Saccharomyces cerevisiae S288C: one gene and its partners. The protein of the gene in region 2 binds, or shares a complex with, the protein of the main gene of each other region. Each region holds a gene or a part of one and is shown on either strand. Other genes may lie near its edges. A codon is read from its position in the direction of its gene.

Region 1 (5,619 bases), on a different chromosome or scaffold from region 2:
GTTGCCGAAGCGTTAAGAAAGTGGGGTGACAAGATTAGATTAGTTAACTGTGATGATAAGCTTCCTGGCCTAATAAGATCCAAGGGTGTATCCAAATGGCCTGTCTATGACAGAAATTTGACTGAGAAAACCAAAGGAGACGAAGGTACACTAGATAGTTTCTTTTCACCATCTGAAGAAGAGGCATCGAAATTCAATTTACAAAATTGTATGAGGGTTTATCCTCACCAACAAAACACAGGCGGATTTTTCATTACTGTTTTCGAAAAAGTCGAAGATAGCACTGAGGCGGCTACAGAGAAACTATCTTCTGAAACCCCAGCTCTAGAGTCTGAAGGACCTCAAACAAAGAAAATAAAGGTAGAAGAAGTCCAAAAGAAAGAAAGACTACCACGTGACGCGAACGAAGAGCCTTTTGTTTTCGTTGATCCACAGCACGAAGCTTTAAAAGTTTGTTGGGATTTCTACGGCATCGATAATATTTTCGACAGAAACACTTGTTTAGTGCGTAACGCCACTGGTGAACCAACAAGAGTGGTTTACACTGTGTGTCCAGCATTGAAGGATGTTATTCAAGCGAATGACGATAGGTTGAAGATTATTTATTCTGGTGTAAAATTGTTTGTCTCTCAAAGAAGTGATATCGAATGTTCATGGAGAATCCAAAGTGAATCATTGCCAATAATGAAACACCATATGAAATCTAATAGAATTGTTGAAGCTAATTTAGAGATGTTAAAACACTTGTTAATCGAATCTTTCCCTAACTTTGACGACATTCGTTCGAAGAACATCGATAATGATTTTGTTGAAAAGATGACAAAATTAAGCTCTGGTTGCGCCTTTATTGATGTGTCAAGAAATGACCCTGCCAAAGAAAACTTATTCTTGCCTGTGTGGAAAGGCAACAAGTGTATCAATTTGATGGTTTGTAAAGAAGATACTCATGAGCTATTATATAGGATCTTTGGTATTGATGCGAATGCCAAGGCTACTCCAAGCGCTGAAGAAAAAGAAAAAGAAAAAGAAACGACTGAATCTCCCGCAGAAACTACTACCGGAACCTCTACTGAAGCTCCTAGCGCTGCTAATTGATAGTTATCATGTTTCTTATCCCCTCCACTGTAAAGTAAATGTATATTATTAAAAGGCAAAAATAAGAATATAATACTTCAGTAATGAGCCTTTTTTATTCGGTCTTGTTACTTCTTTTTTACTTCATTTTTTTTTTTTTTTTTGGATAGTAAATAATGCACTTTTGACTAGATCTTGAGTATTTAGTTGAATTGAAATTAAAGATACAGTGTATAAAAATTATACAAAAAATAAAGGAAACTTGTATATTGAAAATAGGATTGCCAATACATGGATTGAGACAGAGAATTTTTTATCTTCATATCCAGATATTCGTAGGAATAACAAAGTTTTAGTGACCCAAGGTATAAATTGCGAAAGACCTGCGGAGTTGGCGGCGAACACTGACTTTTTGGGCATCAACAAAGGAATCAACTACAACTTTGATAGCTCTATCCAAATCATAAGAAGACACAAATTCAGATAATCTCATTTTAGCAAAAGATTCTGCAATTCTTAGAATAGATTCTAAATGACGAACTGTGATTGGAAACGAACCTGTAGAAATACTTTCTCTTCTCAAATCCGCATATACCCTGCTAACCTTATCCATATCCATCTGATGCAATTTAGGGTATATTTTTGTCCTCGCATAGTGAATATATTTCATCAATAATTCCTGTGGAATAGGCGAGATCTCTTCCTCCTTCTTCCTTTGTCTTTGAAGTCTTCTTTGCCTTGCATTAAGCTGCTCATTTATTTCATCTTCTCCTTGTTCTATCGCCGATTCGCCATTATTTTTAAGCTCTTCGCCTTCTCGATCTTCATCGTTTTCTGGATGAGATCTTACATGAGAATCGACAACAAATGTGGCCAATCTTTCGTCTGCCTCTTCATCAACAAGGTCTCTGACAACACATAAAATATCAAATCTAGACAGAATAGGCTCGGTCAAACTAACATTCTGAGCTAAAGGCAAGGTTGAATTATATCTACCACCATTAGGATTTGCCGCAGCAATAATTGAGCAGCGCGCTTGTAATGTAGTAACAATACCGGCCTTGGAAATGGAAATACTTTGCTGTTCCATAGCCTCATGAATAGATGTACGATCCTGATCGTTCATCTTATCGAATTCATCAATTAAACAAACACCCTTATCAGCCAATACTAGCGCCCCCCCTTCTAAGGTCCATTCTTTAGTAATAGGATCTTTTCTGACGGATGCTGTCAGACCGACAGCCGAAGCACCCTGACCAGTTGCAAAGACCGCTCTATGCGCTGTTTTCTCGACGTATTTTAAGATTTGAGATTTGGCAGTACCTGGATCACCTAATAATAACACATTGATATCACCACGAATAGAATGTTTTCCATTGACGTTTTTTGGAACACCTCCAAATAATGAGCACGCGACTGCAGTTTTAATATCTCTATGACCATAGATAGACGGTGCCATCGATGATATAATTTTATCAATTATACCACGATCCCTAGAAATCTTTCTAAATTCACGTTCTTCTTCTTCAGTCCAACTGAAAACATCCAACCCTTCTTCGCCTTCGTTAGCTGTATTGCCCTCTCTTCTTTTTATAGAATTTGCCTCGATAATTGTTGCAAAAACGGGGAATCCGTTCTTTGCATTCAAGTTACCATCGTAGTTATTTTTGTAGATGCCGGTAACTTCTACCTCTTCACCTGGCTTGGATACATCTACCAAATCCGCCAACAAAATGACTTCTCTATGTCTTGGTAGACGGCCTGGAGGAACGGTTCCGGGAGCTTCCTGGAGCGTAACCCTTTGATAATTTCGGTACACAGTTTTTTCTCCATTGACTCTAAAGGGACCTTTTGATTTGCAGTTTGTACAGAATGAGATTCTAATTTCTTCATTAGAATCTTGAAAAAATGGGCCCAAAATGGAGCCACATTTCAAACAATTGAATTTGACATATTTTAATTGAGGGAAGACTCCTGTTCTTCTTGTCACCACCCCAGTGACGCGTACTAGAGAGGACAAATTAGACTCACGCAATTCACGTAAACTGTATATTGTTGGAAAATCAGAGATTCTTACGTGAATTTCGGAGTGAATACGGGCATAATCTGGGTAATGCAATTCTGTTGCCTCCATAGCCACGAGATCGAATATTTTCAACATTTCTTCTGGACATTTAGCTAAAAATAGTGCCAGGATGGCTTTGGACTCCGCTAAGTGTCTATAATTAACCTCCAAAGATTCAGAATTCATTTCACCTAATGTTCTAATACGTGCACCATATACAGAACGACCCGTTTCATCTGTATATTCCAGCAGGAATGATTTTAACTCTCTGGCAATAGTTCTTGAGACATTAGGTTGTGTTATCCATTCCGAGTAACTGTTAGCCTTAACGTTACTCAGAGATTCTAAAGTAAGTTCTTCTCTTAATGGGTCAATGTCCATGTCACTCAATAGATCGTCATCACTATTCTCTAAGTCCTCATACTGCCTTCTCCTTCTTCGTCTTTGCACAGGAAGGCCCATTTCATCAAGTTGCGCTGCACCTTCTTGTTCTTCGTCCTCGTCATCTATGTAGGCAACATTTCTCAATAGCCTATCTCTTTCATTTAGTTGAGCATCAATGCGGCGACGTTCGCTTAAAGATAGTTCTTGTTGTTCCCTGTCGTCAACTTGATCTGGATCATATCTATCTCTATTATGATCAGCCGCATAATCCTCATACATATTATCGTCCATCAAATCTACTTCGTTCATTTGTTCTTCAACTTCATCAATATCTGGTACATCGTCAACTTCATTATCGTCACCTTCAGGGTTAATCATATCTGGAGAACCAATAGGTGATGAAACTGGGTTCATCCCCCCTCTAAAATGTTGCTGAGGTGAGGATGGCGGTAGCTCATTTTCTGAGTCCGAATCATCTTCCTCACGTCTACGTCTTCTATTATCAGACATCACTTATATTGTAGTTGTGTTATACTTCTTAGAAAAGAGGCAAAGAGGTGTGTGGAGTATTATTAAGTAAACTGTACCAAAATGTGTAGATTATAGGATATTCACCATTTACTTTCTGGTTTCGTTTCTCGAAATTTTTCGTTGTCCTATTTTCTTCGGTAAGTAATTAGATTTCCTAAAAAAGGCATATGATAAATAATATTACACGCGATTCCGCCATCTTGGGTTTCCCACATACATACTTCACGAAGAAAAGAAAGAATTTAGTATTGTGTAATAAAATTGATGTTTATGTTTAAATATTTACAGAATGTTTAAACAGGTATTTAATCCATTTAGATGAAAAGTTAGTCCTTTTCCTTTTTAGCATCCAAAATCTCAAATTCAGCCTTCCATACTGAATTACCTTCTTTCGTATTCACATCCTTGAATAATTTTTGGAATATATCATTATACCAATCAGCAGCTAAAGGTTCCAACCCTTCCTTTACATTGTCTGGAAGTTCCTCCCAATCATTTAAGTTATCTTTAGGGAAAATAATAGTCTTGGCACCAGATCTTTTAGCGGCCACAGCTTTTTCTCTCAACCCACCGATACGTAAAACTTTACCGGTAAGTGTCAATTCACCGGTCATCGCAACCGTTGGGTCAATCGACTTATTCAATGCTAGGGAAAGGAAGGAAGTGGCCATAGTGACACCTGCAGATGGACCATCTTTAGGGGTAGCACCTTCAGGACAATGCAAGTGGATAGACGCCTTTTCAAAAAATCTGTTCTCAGGGAATTTTTGTGCTAAATACATCTTGGCGAATGAATAAGCAAGCCTTGATGATTCCTTCATAACATCTCCCAGTTGCCCGGTCCTTTCAAATGTTGGATGCTTGCAGTTGTGTAAAGGTTGTTCAAGGACAGATTCTACATAAAGTGAGCAACCTCCCATATTAGTCCACGCCAACCCCATAACTACCCCTGGTGGAGTTGTTTCGTATAACCGGTCTGTAGTGTAGACTGGAGGCCCAACGTAATCTTTTAGGTTTTTCTGGGATATGGAAACATTGATCTTTTCAGAGGTCTTTAAGGCTTCAATGTCATCGCTTGTCTTTTCCGAATTATTGTCCTTAGTCTTCTCCGATGAGCTTTTGGCGTTATTTTCCGCCTTTTCTTCGGAAGAAACGCTTTCTTTAGGCTTGCTGTCGGCTGATGACGTTGGGGAATCTTCAATACTCAACTTCTTTACCACTTGTAGGGCTGCTTTACGGTATATTTTCTCGATGTGTTTTTTCAAATTCCTTACACCACTTTCTCTACAGTAGTACTTCATTAACGCTGTTATTGCATCTTCTGTCATATCAACATGAGAGTTTTCTAGACCAGCGCTTTTCTTGGCACTTGGAACTAAATACTGCTCGGCAATCTTAACCTTGTCTTCAGCAACATATCCTGTCAACTCAATGACTTCCATACGATCCAGTAAAGGTCTTGGAATAGTTTCCAAAGAGTTAGCAGTGCAAACGAAAAGCACTTTTGATAAGTCAATAGGAATATCCAAGTAGTTATCCAAGAAGCTGTTGTTTTGTTCAGGGTC
Region 2 (5,899 bases):
TATACATACAGAGCACATGCATGCCATATGATCATGTGTCGTCGCACACATATATATATGCCTGTATGTGTCAGCACTAAAGTTGCCTGGCCATCCACGCTATATATACACGCCTGGCGGATCTGCTCGAGGATTGCCTACGCGTGGGCTTGATCCACCAACCAACGCTCGCCAAATGAACTGGCGCTTTGGTCTTCTGCCATCGTCCGTAAACCCCGGCCAAAGAGACCGGAAAGATCGGTGAAAACATCTTGATCTTGCTCCCGGGAATTTTAGATTCAGGTAGGAAATTGATTACATCAATACTGTTACCCTGAATCATATTCGACGATGTCGTCTCACACGGAAATATAATTCATTTCTTGGTTTTCCAAAAAAATTTTCATTTTTTTTCACTTTTTTGTTTCGTCCTCCTTTTTTTTTTTTTTTTTTTATTTTTTTTCCTGTGTTCACCTTTTTTTTTTTCAGTTGACATCTTTCTGCATTCTTTTCTGTGTTTTTTTTTTTTTTTTTCGTTTTTCCATTGTTCGTTCGTTGCCTGTTTTTTCGCCCTATTGTTCTCGAGCCTAAAAATTTTTTCCTTTCCTGCTTTCCTTTCTTCGTTCAAAGTTTCCTATTCCATTGTTCTCTTTGGTAAACTCATTGTTGTCGGAACTCAGATATATTCAGGTCAATTTACTGTACTTCAATTGACTTTTTTCTTGAAATTTCAACTTGCCTTTTCAACTTGTTCTTCTTTTTTAATCTTATTCTACACTTTAGTTCCCTTACCTTGTTCCTAATTATTGTCTAGCAAAAAGAAAACATACACCTATTTCATTCACACACTAAAACATGTCTGACGAAGAACACACCTTTGAAAATGCTGACGCTGGTGCCTCCGCCACCTACCCAATGCAATGTTCTGCCTTGAGAAAGAATGGTTTCGTTGTCATCAAAGGTAGACCATGTAAGATTGTCGACATGTCCACTTCCAAGACCGGTAAGCACGGTCACGCCAAGGTCCATTTGGTTACCCTTGATATCTTCACTGGTAAGAAGTTGGAAGATTTGTCTCCATCCACTCACAACTTGGAAGTTCCATTTGTCAAGAGAAGCGAATACCAATTGTTGGATATTGATGATGGCTACTTGTCCTTGATGACCATGGACGGTGAAACCAAAGACGATGTCAAGGCACCAGAAGGTGAATTGGGTGACAGCATGCAAGCTGCTTTCGATGAAGGTAAGGATTTGATGGTCACTATCATTTCTGCCATGGGTGAAGAAGCTGCCATCTCCTTCAAGGAAGCTCCAAGATCTGATTAGATATTTTAGATTTCTATAGCTTACAAAATACGCGATGTTTTTTTGATCTAGAAATCTTATTTATACATTTTATATAATATTATAATAATCATAATCATAATTATTCATCCTAACTAACTTCGTTCTGTTTCAGCTACGAAGTTGCCTTCATTATCGCTACGTTCGTGTTAATTGGTGTTTGATACCATAGTCACTTATGACGACGTGCAGAACTTTTTTTTTTGACGGATATTTTCCCCTCAATATGCCGAGGATGATTACTTTATAATTTGCCTTCTTTCGGTTCCTTCTTCTTTTTAATTTAGCTGACGGGAACATGTGTATATACCCCAGAAGAATTTAAACAGAAATTTTTTTGAGCATTTTACGAAAATATTAAAAACTAGGGCTACAGATATCAGAGAAAAAATTACTTATATGATGACAATAACTTAATATCACAGTCACTATCGTTCTCGCCTTTATATGCGCAGTGACAGCATTCGACTTTTCCTTGGAAGGGACCCGATCAACGAAACTTCAAAAAGAGTAGAAGTCAAAATATTTTTTGCACGACGAGGGTGACAGACCGTGCTATGTCCACAAATGAGGCCCTGCTTTCCCAAGATAAATTGCGTAAACATATAATTGTTACAAATCCAAGGCTCTGTGATTTCTTCACCAAGTGTAGTTGTGATGTATGATGTGTAGGATAAGTAATGACCGGTAAATCAAGCTGGTAAAAAGTCCTAATAACAAGCCCGAATCTGGAATAATGGTAATATTCCCATGCCAGGTGGACAGTGTTGTCCTTAAACAAACTCAAGAGATTAAAGGCAACTTGGCCGAGTGGTTAAGGCGAAAGATTAGAAATCTTTTGGGCTTTGCCCGCGCAGGTTCGAGTCCTGCAGTTGTCGTTATTTTTTATTTCCCTTTCTTTTCGTACATACACAATGCACAGTCTTCAAAGTAAAATACCAACGTATGTATCAAGATCAATTTTTTTTCTTTTTTTTTTTTTTTTACCGTAAATGTACGTATTCTACCTTATATCTAAAAATATTCTTCAATCTTGTTGTTTTGATTTGTGGATTTGCAACAGCTTAGAAAATCTGTTTTTATCCAAACTGTTCCATCTATAAACTTTTAACCCACCATCCACTTGATGAACAGATATGTCCATTGGTAGGATACCTTGTAGCCCAGCTAAAATTTCACTTGCTTCTTTTGTACCGATAGGATTATTACTATCTTGTAAACTATCTACGATTAGCGAGCTTAGATATGTCTCTGTATAAGGCTGGCCCCTGGTCAGCGAAAAAAGAATATCAAATACCTGAGTCATTTTCATCGCTAGAAACTGCTGGTAACGTTTTTGCCTTTGAGAAAGCAATGCGGCCGAACGTCTCTCTCTTTCACGCAGTCTGTCCATAAGGTTTGCTTGCGAATCAGGCATCTTCTCTTTGTACATGAAATTTTCCTTACTATTCGCCAAATATCTTGAGTTATTCAAGGCATTAGCATTAGAGCTCTTCGTTTGCACTTTACTGCTCAAGACTGTTTTAGAATTAGAGCTGGACCTTCTTTTATTTATTTTGAAAGCGGGTACATCAGTCATAATCTCATCCTTGGAAGCTATCACTTGTTGGTACCACGACTCTGCCCTTTCCACGAATGCCAAAGTCCTAGACTTATTGGTCAACGTTGTTAGATTGTCTCTTTTGGGTAGATTCATGGTCAGCTCCCCTCTAGAGTTCAGTTCCACTACGTATGCATCAGACCAAATGGTCAATAACTTCAAAATATCATCCTGCACTATTTTCCTTTTCATCATGCTGGATATCTGGGGTAACAAAACGTGCAGCTCTGGTGGGACGCCCGTGGATCTGGAAAGAGCGTTTAAAGACAATACAGTCTCGCAAACAGTAAACAACTCCTTAACAAACTTCATTGCGTCTTGGAGTCTTAGAATACTAAGCTCCCGTGGGTAGTATTGCTGAGCGACTTTTGGGAAAGCCTTAATTTGTTGCTCCAACAAATGATTGGCAATCGTACCCTCTCCTTTACTCGAGATTGGCGTAGTAAGTGGAGGCCAGATGGTCAACGAAACAATGTTCGCACGAGGATCTATCTGGAGTGGTGAGGTAGTGTGCATACCTTGAGACCAGCGCGCAAGGAGGGTCCCCGTGTGGAACAGAAGACAATCGGGTTCATCAATACTCACCCAAGAATTGTCCGTCGTCGCCATAGTCGATGGCTTGTACCTTATAGCCTTGGCACAGGGGAAGATGGTCAACACGCCCGTCGGAAGAAAAGTAACATAGTCCCTTTCAAACAGGTACTGGAAATCGTCGCCAGTGGGCAGCACGGTAGCACCTGCATCTGCACCATCGTGTGTACTACCATTATCATTGAAATAACGGGTCAGCTTAGTCGCATAATGAGAGGTGCTGATACAGTCTTGCAATTCTGCGCTAGAAACCACACTTTTCACACACAGTTGGGCGAAAAACAGACCCAGTTTGAACAGCCTACTATATATGGAGCACAGTGACTCATTCCTGCACTTCCGATCGAAGCGTAATTGAGGATCAGTGTCAAATATGTACTGCTCCAGCCAAACATCATCTTCTAGCGGTAATGTACCCGTAAAGTTCGCATCAAAACCTTGACTCGTGTCAGGCAGGTCCTTTGTCGTGAGCCCCGCTAGTAGTGCATCTAGAACAGCCTTGTTAGCATAATTTTTTAACAGAAAGGTGTCATGCTGTAGCAAAATTGCCCTCACCACCGGCAACAGCTGCTCTTCATCTGAAACTCTATTCAAATCTATCACAGGCACGCGCAAAACCTCCTTCCTCCTACTATTAGCTGTGCCACTCATAAATCACGACGCTACGTAGTTCAGCTCACTGTCATGATACCAACTACCGCAACTAACATCTGCTTATATTAAACTCTTCCGCATCATCGCAATGGTACAATGTGCTAAAGCTAGTGCCTTAGATGCGCTGAATAATTGTATATCACCCACAACGGCAGAGCTTTTCCATGGGCTTCGGCCCGGTTCCACCGCCCCCTGCCTCTTTTTCCGGTGACCGCTTACGGTGCGGTGTATAAAAACGAACGATCCAACGCCGGCTCGACGCTTGGGAACTTTTGGGTTCTTTGTTCCACGTTTGAAAACTCCATACGTTGCTGTCCTCCTCTGCCTGCTGTACATATCGACGCCCCGCTGCTCACCAACCTTTGCCAGAGTGACAACTTTTGTATTTACGACCCATTTAATATAATTAAGACTACACAAATCTCATATTATACGCACCAAGATGCTTGCTGCTAAAAACATACTAAACAGGTCAAGCTTGTCTAGCTCTTTCCGTATTGCCACACGTTTGCAGTCAACCAAGGTTCAAGGTTCCGTCATCGGTATCGATTTGGGTACCACCAACTCTGCGGTTGCCATTATGGAAGGTAAAGTTCCAAAAATTATTGAAAACGCCGAAGGTTCCAGAACTACTCCTTCTGTAGTAGCTTTCACTAAAGAGGGAGAACGTTTGGTTGGTATTCCAGCCAAGCGTCAAGCCGTAGTGAACCCAGAAAACACCCTATTTGCTACCAAGCGTTTGATTGGTCGTCGTTTCGAAGACGCTGAAGTGCAAAGAGATATCAAGCAAGTTCCATACAAGATCGTCAAGCACTCCAACGGGGATGCTTGGGTTGAGGCCAGAGGTCAAACTTACTCACCAGCCCAAATCGGTGGGTTCGTCTTGAACAAGATGAAGGAAACAGCTGAGGCCTACTTGGGTAAGCCAGTTAAGAATGCTGTTGTCACTGTCCCAGCTTATTTCAACGACTCTCAAAGACAAGCTACTAAAGACGCAGGCCAAATTGTTGGTTTGAACGTTTTACGTGTCGTCAATGAACCAACCGCCGCTGCCTTAGCTTACGGTTTGGAAAAATCCGACTCTAAAGTTGTTGCCGTTTTCGATTTGGGTGGTGGTACTTTCGATATCTCCATCTTAGATATTGACAACGGTGTTTTTGAAGTTAAGTCCACTAACGGTGACACTCATTTGGGTGGTGAAGATTTCGACATCTATTTGTTGAGAGAGATTGTTTCTCGTTTCAAGACCGAAACTGGTATTGATTTGGAAAATGACCGTATGGCTATCCAAAGAATTAGAGAAGCTGCTGAAAAGGCTAAGATTGAGCTATCTTCTACCGTTTCCACTGAAATCAACCTGCCATTTATCACTGCTGATGCCTCAGGTCCAAAGCATATCAACATGAAGTTCTCCAGGGCTCAATTCGAGACTTTGACAGCCCCACTAGTTAAGAGAACTGTCGACCCAGTCAAGAAGGCTTTGAAAGACGCCGGTTTGTCTACTTCAGACATATCTGAAGTCTTATTGGTCGGTGGTATGTCCAGAATGCCTAAGGTTGTCGAAACCGTTAAATCTTTGTTTGGTAAGGACCCATCTAAGGCCGTCAACCCAGATGAAGCTGTTGCCATTGGTGCTGCTGTGCAAGGTGCTGTCTTGTCCGGTGAGGTTACTGACGTCTTATTATTAGATGTTACCCCATTGTCTCTAGGTATCGAAACTTTAGGTGG
Region 3 (6,060 bases), on a different chromosome or scaffold from region 2:
ATTATCCACGATTTGAAGTATAAGGACTGGGACGTTTTAGCCACTGCAGGTAACACAAATGCCTGGGAATCTACTTTAAGAGTCTTTTGTAACCGAGGTGATGTCATCTTAGTTGAGGCACATTCTTTTTCCTCTTCATTGGCTTCTGCAGAGGCTCAAGGTGTCATTACCTTCCCCGTGCCAATTGACGCTGATGGTATCATTCCTGAAAAATTAGCTAAAGTCATGGAAAACTGGACACCTGGTGCTCCTAAACCAAAGTTGTTATACACTATTCCAACGGGCCAAAATCCAACTGGTACTTCCATTGCAGACCATAGAAAGGAGGCAATTTACAAGATCGCTCAAAAGTACGACTTCCTAATTGTGGAAGATGAACCTTATTATTTCTTACAAATGAATCCCTACATCAAAGACTTGAAGGAAAGAGAGAAGGCACAAAGTTCTCCAAAGCAGGACCATGACGAATTTTTGAAGTCCTTGGCAAACACTTTCCTTTCCTTGGATACAGAAGGCCGTGTTATTAGAATGGATTCCTTTTCAAAAGTTTTGGCCCCAGGGACAAGATTGGGTTGGATTACTGGTTCATCCAAAATCTTGAAGCCTTACTTGAGTTTGCATGAAATGACGATTCAAGCCCCAGCAGGTTTTACACAAGTTTTGGTCAACGCTACGCTATCCAGGTGGGGTCAAAAGGGTTACTTGGACTGGTTGCTTGGCCTGCGTCATGAATACACTTTGAAACGTGACTGTGCCATCGATGCCCTTTACAAGTATCTACCACAATCTGATGCTTTCGTGATCAATCCTCCAATTGCAGGTATGTTTTTCACCGTGAACATTGACGCATCTGTCCACCCTGAGTTTAAAACAAAATACAACTCAGACCCTTACCAGCTAGAACAGAGTCTTTACCACAAAGTGGTTGAACGTGGTGTTTTAGTGGTTCCCGGTTCTTGGTTCAAGAGTGAGGGTGAGACGGAACCTCCTCAACCCGCTGAATCTAAAGAAGTCAGTAATCCAAACATAATTTTCTTCAGAGGTACCTATGCAGCTGTCTCTCCTGAGAAACTGACTGAAGGTCTGAAGAGATTAGGTGATACTTTATACGAAGAATTTGGTATTTCCAAATAGAGAGGTAAATACGTTGGAAGAATATATATAAGGTGAAAAAAGGACGTACGTATTTTTGTATTGCTTAAATTTCGAAGTATTTTTTCTTTTTGTAAAAGACTGCAAGTGGAAGCCAAAATATAATATTTTGTTTTTTCATTAAGAGTACAACTTTATACAACAATTATAACTTGATTTGAGAGCCAAGTTATGTAAGATATTTTTCTCCCACAAAGAGAAATGCACACGATAGGAATTTACAACGTGAACGATACTTGAAACGAAATATGAAAATCCGCAAGAGTGCACTGAATTAGCTGGAATCCTGTGGTTCCAATTGATCCAAAACCTCACAGTTTGGATGAATAACATAAACAGTTTTATTATTTTCATTTTCCTCATTCTCAAGATCTCTTAAATTGTGTCTGGTACCATGAATCTCCATTAAAATCCTATCTTTGACCAACCTTTTTATGACTTTGAACGCTAATCTTCTCTCTTCCCAATATTCTGCTAACGAACCCAAATCATTTTCCTTCTGTAATAAATACCAATCAACTATATCCACAGCTGTTAGTTCTTCTGCACCCTCCCTATCTACTTCAGCAATCTTTCTAACGATCATGTTCATCATGGACACATATTTATCATACGTCACCGTTGTTTTCTTCTTCTCGCTTGTACCTGGACGAGCTGTAGCTTCGCTTTGTCCTTCTTCTATATCTGCTGGTGGCTCACTCGTAATTACACCTGACCCAGTCCCATCATCATTGTCATCATTGTTTCCAGAAGCGGCGTGACTTTGACTCTCTATGTTATCAAATTCTTCATCCATTTCCACATCATCCACATCAACACGAATAATACTTTGCCTTAAAAGATCGTAAGCTTCTGCAATGAATGATGGAGTAATTTCATCGACACAATTAGCCCTCGCAATAGCTTCTGATAATCTAATCATACTTTCAAGTTGCCTAACTGTGATTCTATAACTCGATCTACTAAATCCCTGGGCATCATCCTTTCTCAGTTCCTTATACTTCTCGACTAAATAGGAACGGGCTTCTTTCGTTAATATTGGTTTAAAAGTACGTGCATATTTGATATAACGACGTAGTTGTTCTGCACTAAATGGCGGCTCAATGGCTTCGTCTCTTTTCATGTGTAAGTCAACGATATGAGATGCCAATTCGGTATCAATTTTTTCGTTACAGTCATCAAGAATAACAAAAAATAAATCAAATCTGGACATGATCGGTGCGGTCATATTTAAATTACCCCTCAGTGATAGTTTCCTATTGTATCTTCCACCTACCGGGTTGGCAGCCGCTAGAATTGATGTTCTTGCATTTAAAGTAGCGTGAATACCAGCTTTAGCAATAGAGATGGTCTGTTGTTCCATAGCTTCATGAATGGCAACTTGATCTGAAATATCCATTTTATCAAATTCATCGATACAACAAATACCGTTATCAGCAAGCATTAAAGCACCTGCTTCAATTGTATAATCACCTCCTTCCTCATCTCTCACAACCGCAGCTGTTAAACCAGCAGCCGACGAGGCCTTACCGGAAGTGTAAACTGATCTTGGTGCAAATCCCACTACGTATTTTAAAAATTGAGACTTAGAAGTAGAGGGATCACCAACAACACAGATGTTGATATCTCCTCTTAACTTAATACCTTCTACAGTACTCTTATGAACACCACCGAGCATCTGAAGCAAGATACCCTTCTTTACGGCTTCATGGCCAAACACAGCTGGAGCAATAGATCTGACCAATTTATCATAAATATGTTCATCCTTTACCATTTCCTTCAGCTCATTTATTTCATCTGAACTCAAACTGTTCAAGAATACTTCTTGATCTCTTTCATTATCTTGGTATACATTATTAGCTTGTAAATTAGCAGCCATCTGTAGTTCAGTTTCTCGGTTGTTAGAATTTGCATCAGGGCTACTTGCACCAATGTTTGATCCAATACTGATAACATGGCATGCCAGAAAGCTAATCTTGTATGTCAAATCACGAACACCAAGAGAGCGTAAACCAGTAACACCACTATTCAAACCTTCAGTAGTCTTCGAAATACCTCTAGTATCTAATGTTGAACTTGGCTTCACACCTGGTAGCCCCAATTGTGTAACATCAGGTACTACAATTTCCACACCCGTAAATTTGCAACGGTCACCTGGCTTGGCTCTTTCGACACTATCACCTCGAAGAATGACGTCCAGCGTACGCGGCATGGAGCCTGTAGGTATTTCGTTAGCATTTTCTTGAATTCTGACTTTTTGCCAATCAAGAAACCTGGATCTTGTAACATTTAATGTCCAAAAGGCTCTATTTTCGCATGATGGGTTCGGGCAAAATGTCGGTTCAGTGTACTTGAAGGACTGTTCTACGTTATCTACGATAGCACGGCACATATCACACGTAAAGCTTGCCTTGTATAATTCTGGACGGACCTCAGATGTTCTTGTCACTGTCCCTGATATACTCAATAGTGAACCAATCTTTTCAGATCTTATATCACGAATTCTGTGAACTGTTGGTAGATTGAAGAAACTGATTTGAAAAACACGTTCCGTCTGTTCAGGTGACGTAGAAGTTGTTATTGACCTCGTTGCCATGGCAGATGTCCCATTCCCTGGTGCGGCTGATGATCCAGAATCTCTTGGTAGACTCGACCCATTCATATCATCGTCCTGTTGCTCATCTTCATCCGCTTGACCTTCGTCACCTTCGGATCTCTTCAATGAGTCACTTGTGTTTAACAATTCAGGTGCATACTTTCTTACTACTCTTCTTAAACCCTTTTGTAAAAAAGGCAAAAATCTGTAATATTGTTCTGAGATAGCCATAGCTAGAGCACCATTTTCTCTCATGGATAAATGCTGATAATCTATATAAATGGTGTTTAGGTCATATATTTTCATAAATTCAATTTGAGCTCTATAAACTTTTTCAACTTCACCAGTATCAGTGGATTGAACGGAAAAGTCTTCCAAAAACTGCTCGAACGCTTCACGGACTTTTTCACCAGTAACGTCATCAACTTTCTTAACGTGATTCAAAGCTCTACTTTTGAAGCTTCTGGCAGGTTCATTTCCCTCCATATCATTAGTCGCGGAACCATCGGTTTGCAACCTTTGAGAACTAAACTGAGTGGAATCGTTAACAAAAGGGCCTGTTTGTGAATTACTGACATGCGGTTGAGAAGAACTTGGGAAATGTAACCTAGAGCCTATTTGCGAATCGAGTCCGCTACTGCTTCCGAAGCCAGCACCTATCGACGATGGTGGCGGAGAGGAGTTGGAAGGTCTATTACTGCTTGGTGTGTCAGCTGGAAAAGGGGATGACATTGAAAAAAACCAGTTTTAACCTTTGGTAAGTCTATTTTTCCTATCCACCGGTGGCGAAGTGTAAGATACTCGCTGTAAATCACTTAAGAATGAAATATTTTGTTATTATTGTAGATTAAAGAAAGAAAAAAAAAAAGCTTCAAGAAAGGCCTATTAGGCGCTTTTCCTAAAAAGGAAATTTAATAGACGAACTTAGATGACAATACCAAATAGCGAAGGAACGGCAAAAGAATAGGTACACAAATGTTATGAGAACTGGAATCAAAACAAGCTATTGTTTGTCGACGAATAGTAATGTTACTAGTATATTATGTGCGGTGATAATATGATATAAATCGCGAAAAGGGTAAACCCAGTAAAAACTGAAATGCAAGATAAATAACGTAATGGGGTGATGTATGATATCGTATAAAACACAAGAAAGGATAACAGCACTATCATGCAAAATTGCTTATTTCTGGTATATTCTGGATTCCGAATGACACTTCCCTTACTGGAAAATCGAATTCAAGTGACCATTTAAATGGTCACCTATTTCTCAGGATGACCGCTAATTCTTCTCATCAGGGTTTCCCAAGTTGTTAGCAAACTGTATTGATATCTTTTTGCGGGAGTGAAACCAACTATTCAGCTCAGTATCGGATTAATCTCTCCACTTAATGCTACGGAGTTCTTCCAAACATTAGTACTGGTGCCAGTATCAGCACCACATCAACAGGTGAACTCAAAATTACATTAGTCAGGAGCAGTACACCCGTTAATCGTGGGAATCTCTGTACTGAGGGTCAACTACGTATCGCGGAACTAGGGGTCCACTAGTGTATGCGACTGCGATTCATATAACACTTTAACGTCAAAACCGTATACAGTCCTCATCCGCCTTGGGGGCCAGCATATTATATATAAAAACTCCTGAAAAACACTTACCCAGAGGTACGATAATGAATGACGCTTATGTGATTTATGGTTAACGCAGTACCCAAGACAAGTATGCAGCGTTAACTCCCAATCAAAGAAAATATAGTGGATTCTAATCTGACGAACTACGGACAGTAATTGGTATTTTTACTCATTAGTGACTTTGGTAATGCCCTATATTTCACTAGAAGGTGTCACAGTGTCACAAATTTTACATCACAGTTCCCTTTCGTAAGATCAAGAATATGGCTGACTATAGTGGACATCTTCTTACACCGTATATAGTAATATATTGCTAATATGAGCACTAGTTGATTCTTGTTCCAACAGTATATTCCAAACATGTGTTAATCACGCGTTGATACAATGTGGCTCGGCTACAAATCAGTTATTAACATCGTGAGCTATGTTTCCCTGAAATGGGGACGTTTTCCAACGAATTAGCCTTGTTGGCGCAATCGGTAGCGCGTATGACTCTTAATCATAAGGTTAGGGGTTCGAGCCCCCTACAGGGCTATTCTTTTTTTGTTCTATATGAACAGAGCTATTTCCCTTCTAAGAGTCCCACATAAAAGTGCTCTGGGGAAAAACGGACCACAGCATGTCCTGTGGTACTTGTTTCTTTCAAGTTTTTCGTATGTATTTCCCATTTTTTGATTCGC

The links. Proteins that work in one complex are often made in the same cells at the same time.
Region 1: the proteins of TAH11 (region 2) and MCM2 are in contact, whole or in part, in a cryo-EM structure (PDB 5XF8), measured with the Saccharomyces cerevisiae proteins. Residues at the interface, in NP_012580.1 of Saccharomyces cerevisiae: Ser210 (codon at 3,541), Thr211 (codon at 3,538), Met212 (codon at 3,535), Ala213 (codon at 3,532), Thr215 (codon at 3,526), His244 (codon at 3,439), Thr245 (codon at 3,436), Ser331 (codon at 3,178), Gln346 (codon at 3,133), Ser349 (codon at 3,124); in NP_009530.1 of Saccharomyces cerevisiae: Thr219 (codon at 3,379), Asp220 (codon at 3,376), Glu221 (codon at 3,373), Thr222 (codon at 3,370), Gly223 (codon at 3,367), Arg224 (codon at 3,364), Val226 (codon at 3,358), Ala229 (codon at 3,349), Arg230 (codon at 3,346), Leu258 (codon at 3,262), Pro301 (codon at 3,133).
Region 3: the proteins of TAH11 (region 2) and MCM6 are in contact, whole or in part, in a cryo-EM structure (PDB 5XF8), measured with the Saccharomyces cerevisiae proteins. Residues at the interface, in NP_012580.1 of Saccharomyces cerevisiae: Gln502 (codon at 2,665), Tyr505 (codon at 2,656), Leu509 (codon at 2,644), Ser522 (codon at 2,605), Leu523 (codon at 2,602), Gly526 (codon at 2,593), Gln527 (codon at 2,590), Pro528 (codon at 2,587), Asp540 (codon at 2,551), Ser545 (codon at 2,536), Lys552 (codon at 2,515), Glu553 (codon at 2,512); in NP_011314.2 of Saccharomyces cerevisiae: Ser171 (codon at 3,970), Pro271 (codon at 3,670), Thr272 (codon at 3,667), Val273 (codon at 3,664), Phe504 (codon at 2,971), Asn506 (codon at 2,965), Ser507 (codon at 2,962), Leu508 (codon at 2,959), Ser510 (codon at 2,953), Asp511 (codon at 2,950), Ile513 (codon at 2,944), Lys517 (codon at 2,932).

Annotation. Positions count from the first base shown.
Region 1 is NC_001134.8:173,494-179,112, forward strand, and holds MCM2 (MCM DNA helicase complex subunit MCM2), read right to left. Parts: upstream 4,034-5,619; coding exon 1,427-4,033; downstream 1-1,426. Other genes in the region: NCL1 (tRNA (cytosine-C5-)-methyltransferase), read left to right, coding at 1-1,095; ATP-dependent Lon protease PIM1, read right to left, coding at 4,381-5,619. UniProt on the Saccharomyces cerevisiae protein: Acts as a component of the MCM2-7 complex (MCM complex) which is the putative replicative helicase essential for 'once per cell cycle' DNA replication initiation and elongation in eukaryotic cells.
Region 2 is NC_001142.9:520,317-526,215, reverse strand, and holds TAH11 (Tah11p), read right to left. Parts: upstream 4,169-5,899; coding exon 2,354-4,168; downstream 1-2,353. Other genes in the region: ANB1 (translation elongation factor eIF-5A), read left to right, coding at 835-1,308; Hsp70 family ATPase SSC1, read left to right, coding at 4,614-5,899. UniProt on the Saccharomyces cerevisiae protein: DNA replication licensing factor, required for pre-replication complex assembly. Faithful duplication of the genetic material requires 'once per cell cycle' DNA replication initiation and elongation.
Region 3 is NC_001139.9:116,428-122,487, forward strand, and holds MCM6 (MCM DNA helicase complex subunit MCM6), read right to left. Parts: upstream 4,481-6,060; coding exon 1,427-4,480; downstream 1-1,426. Other genes in the region: ARO8 (bifunctional 2-aminoadipate transaminase/aromatic-amino-acid:2-oxoglutarate transaminase), read left to right, coding at 1-1,134. UniProt on the Saccharomyces cerevisiae protein: Acts as a component of the MCM2-7 complex (MCM complex) which is the putative replicative helicase essential for 'once per cell cycle' DNA replication initiation and elongation in eukaryotic cells.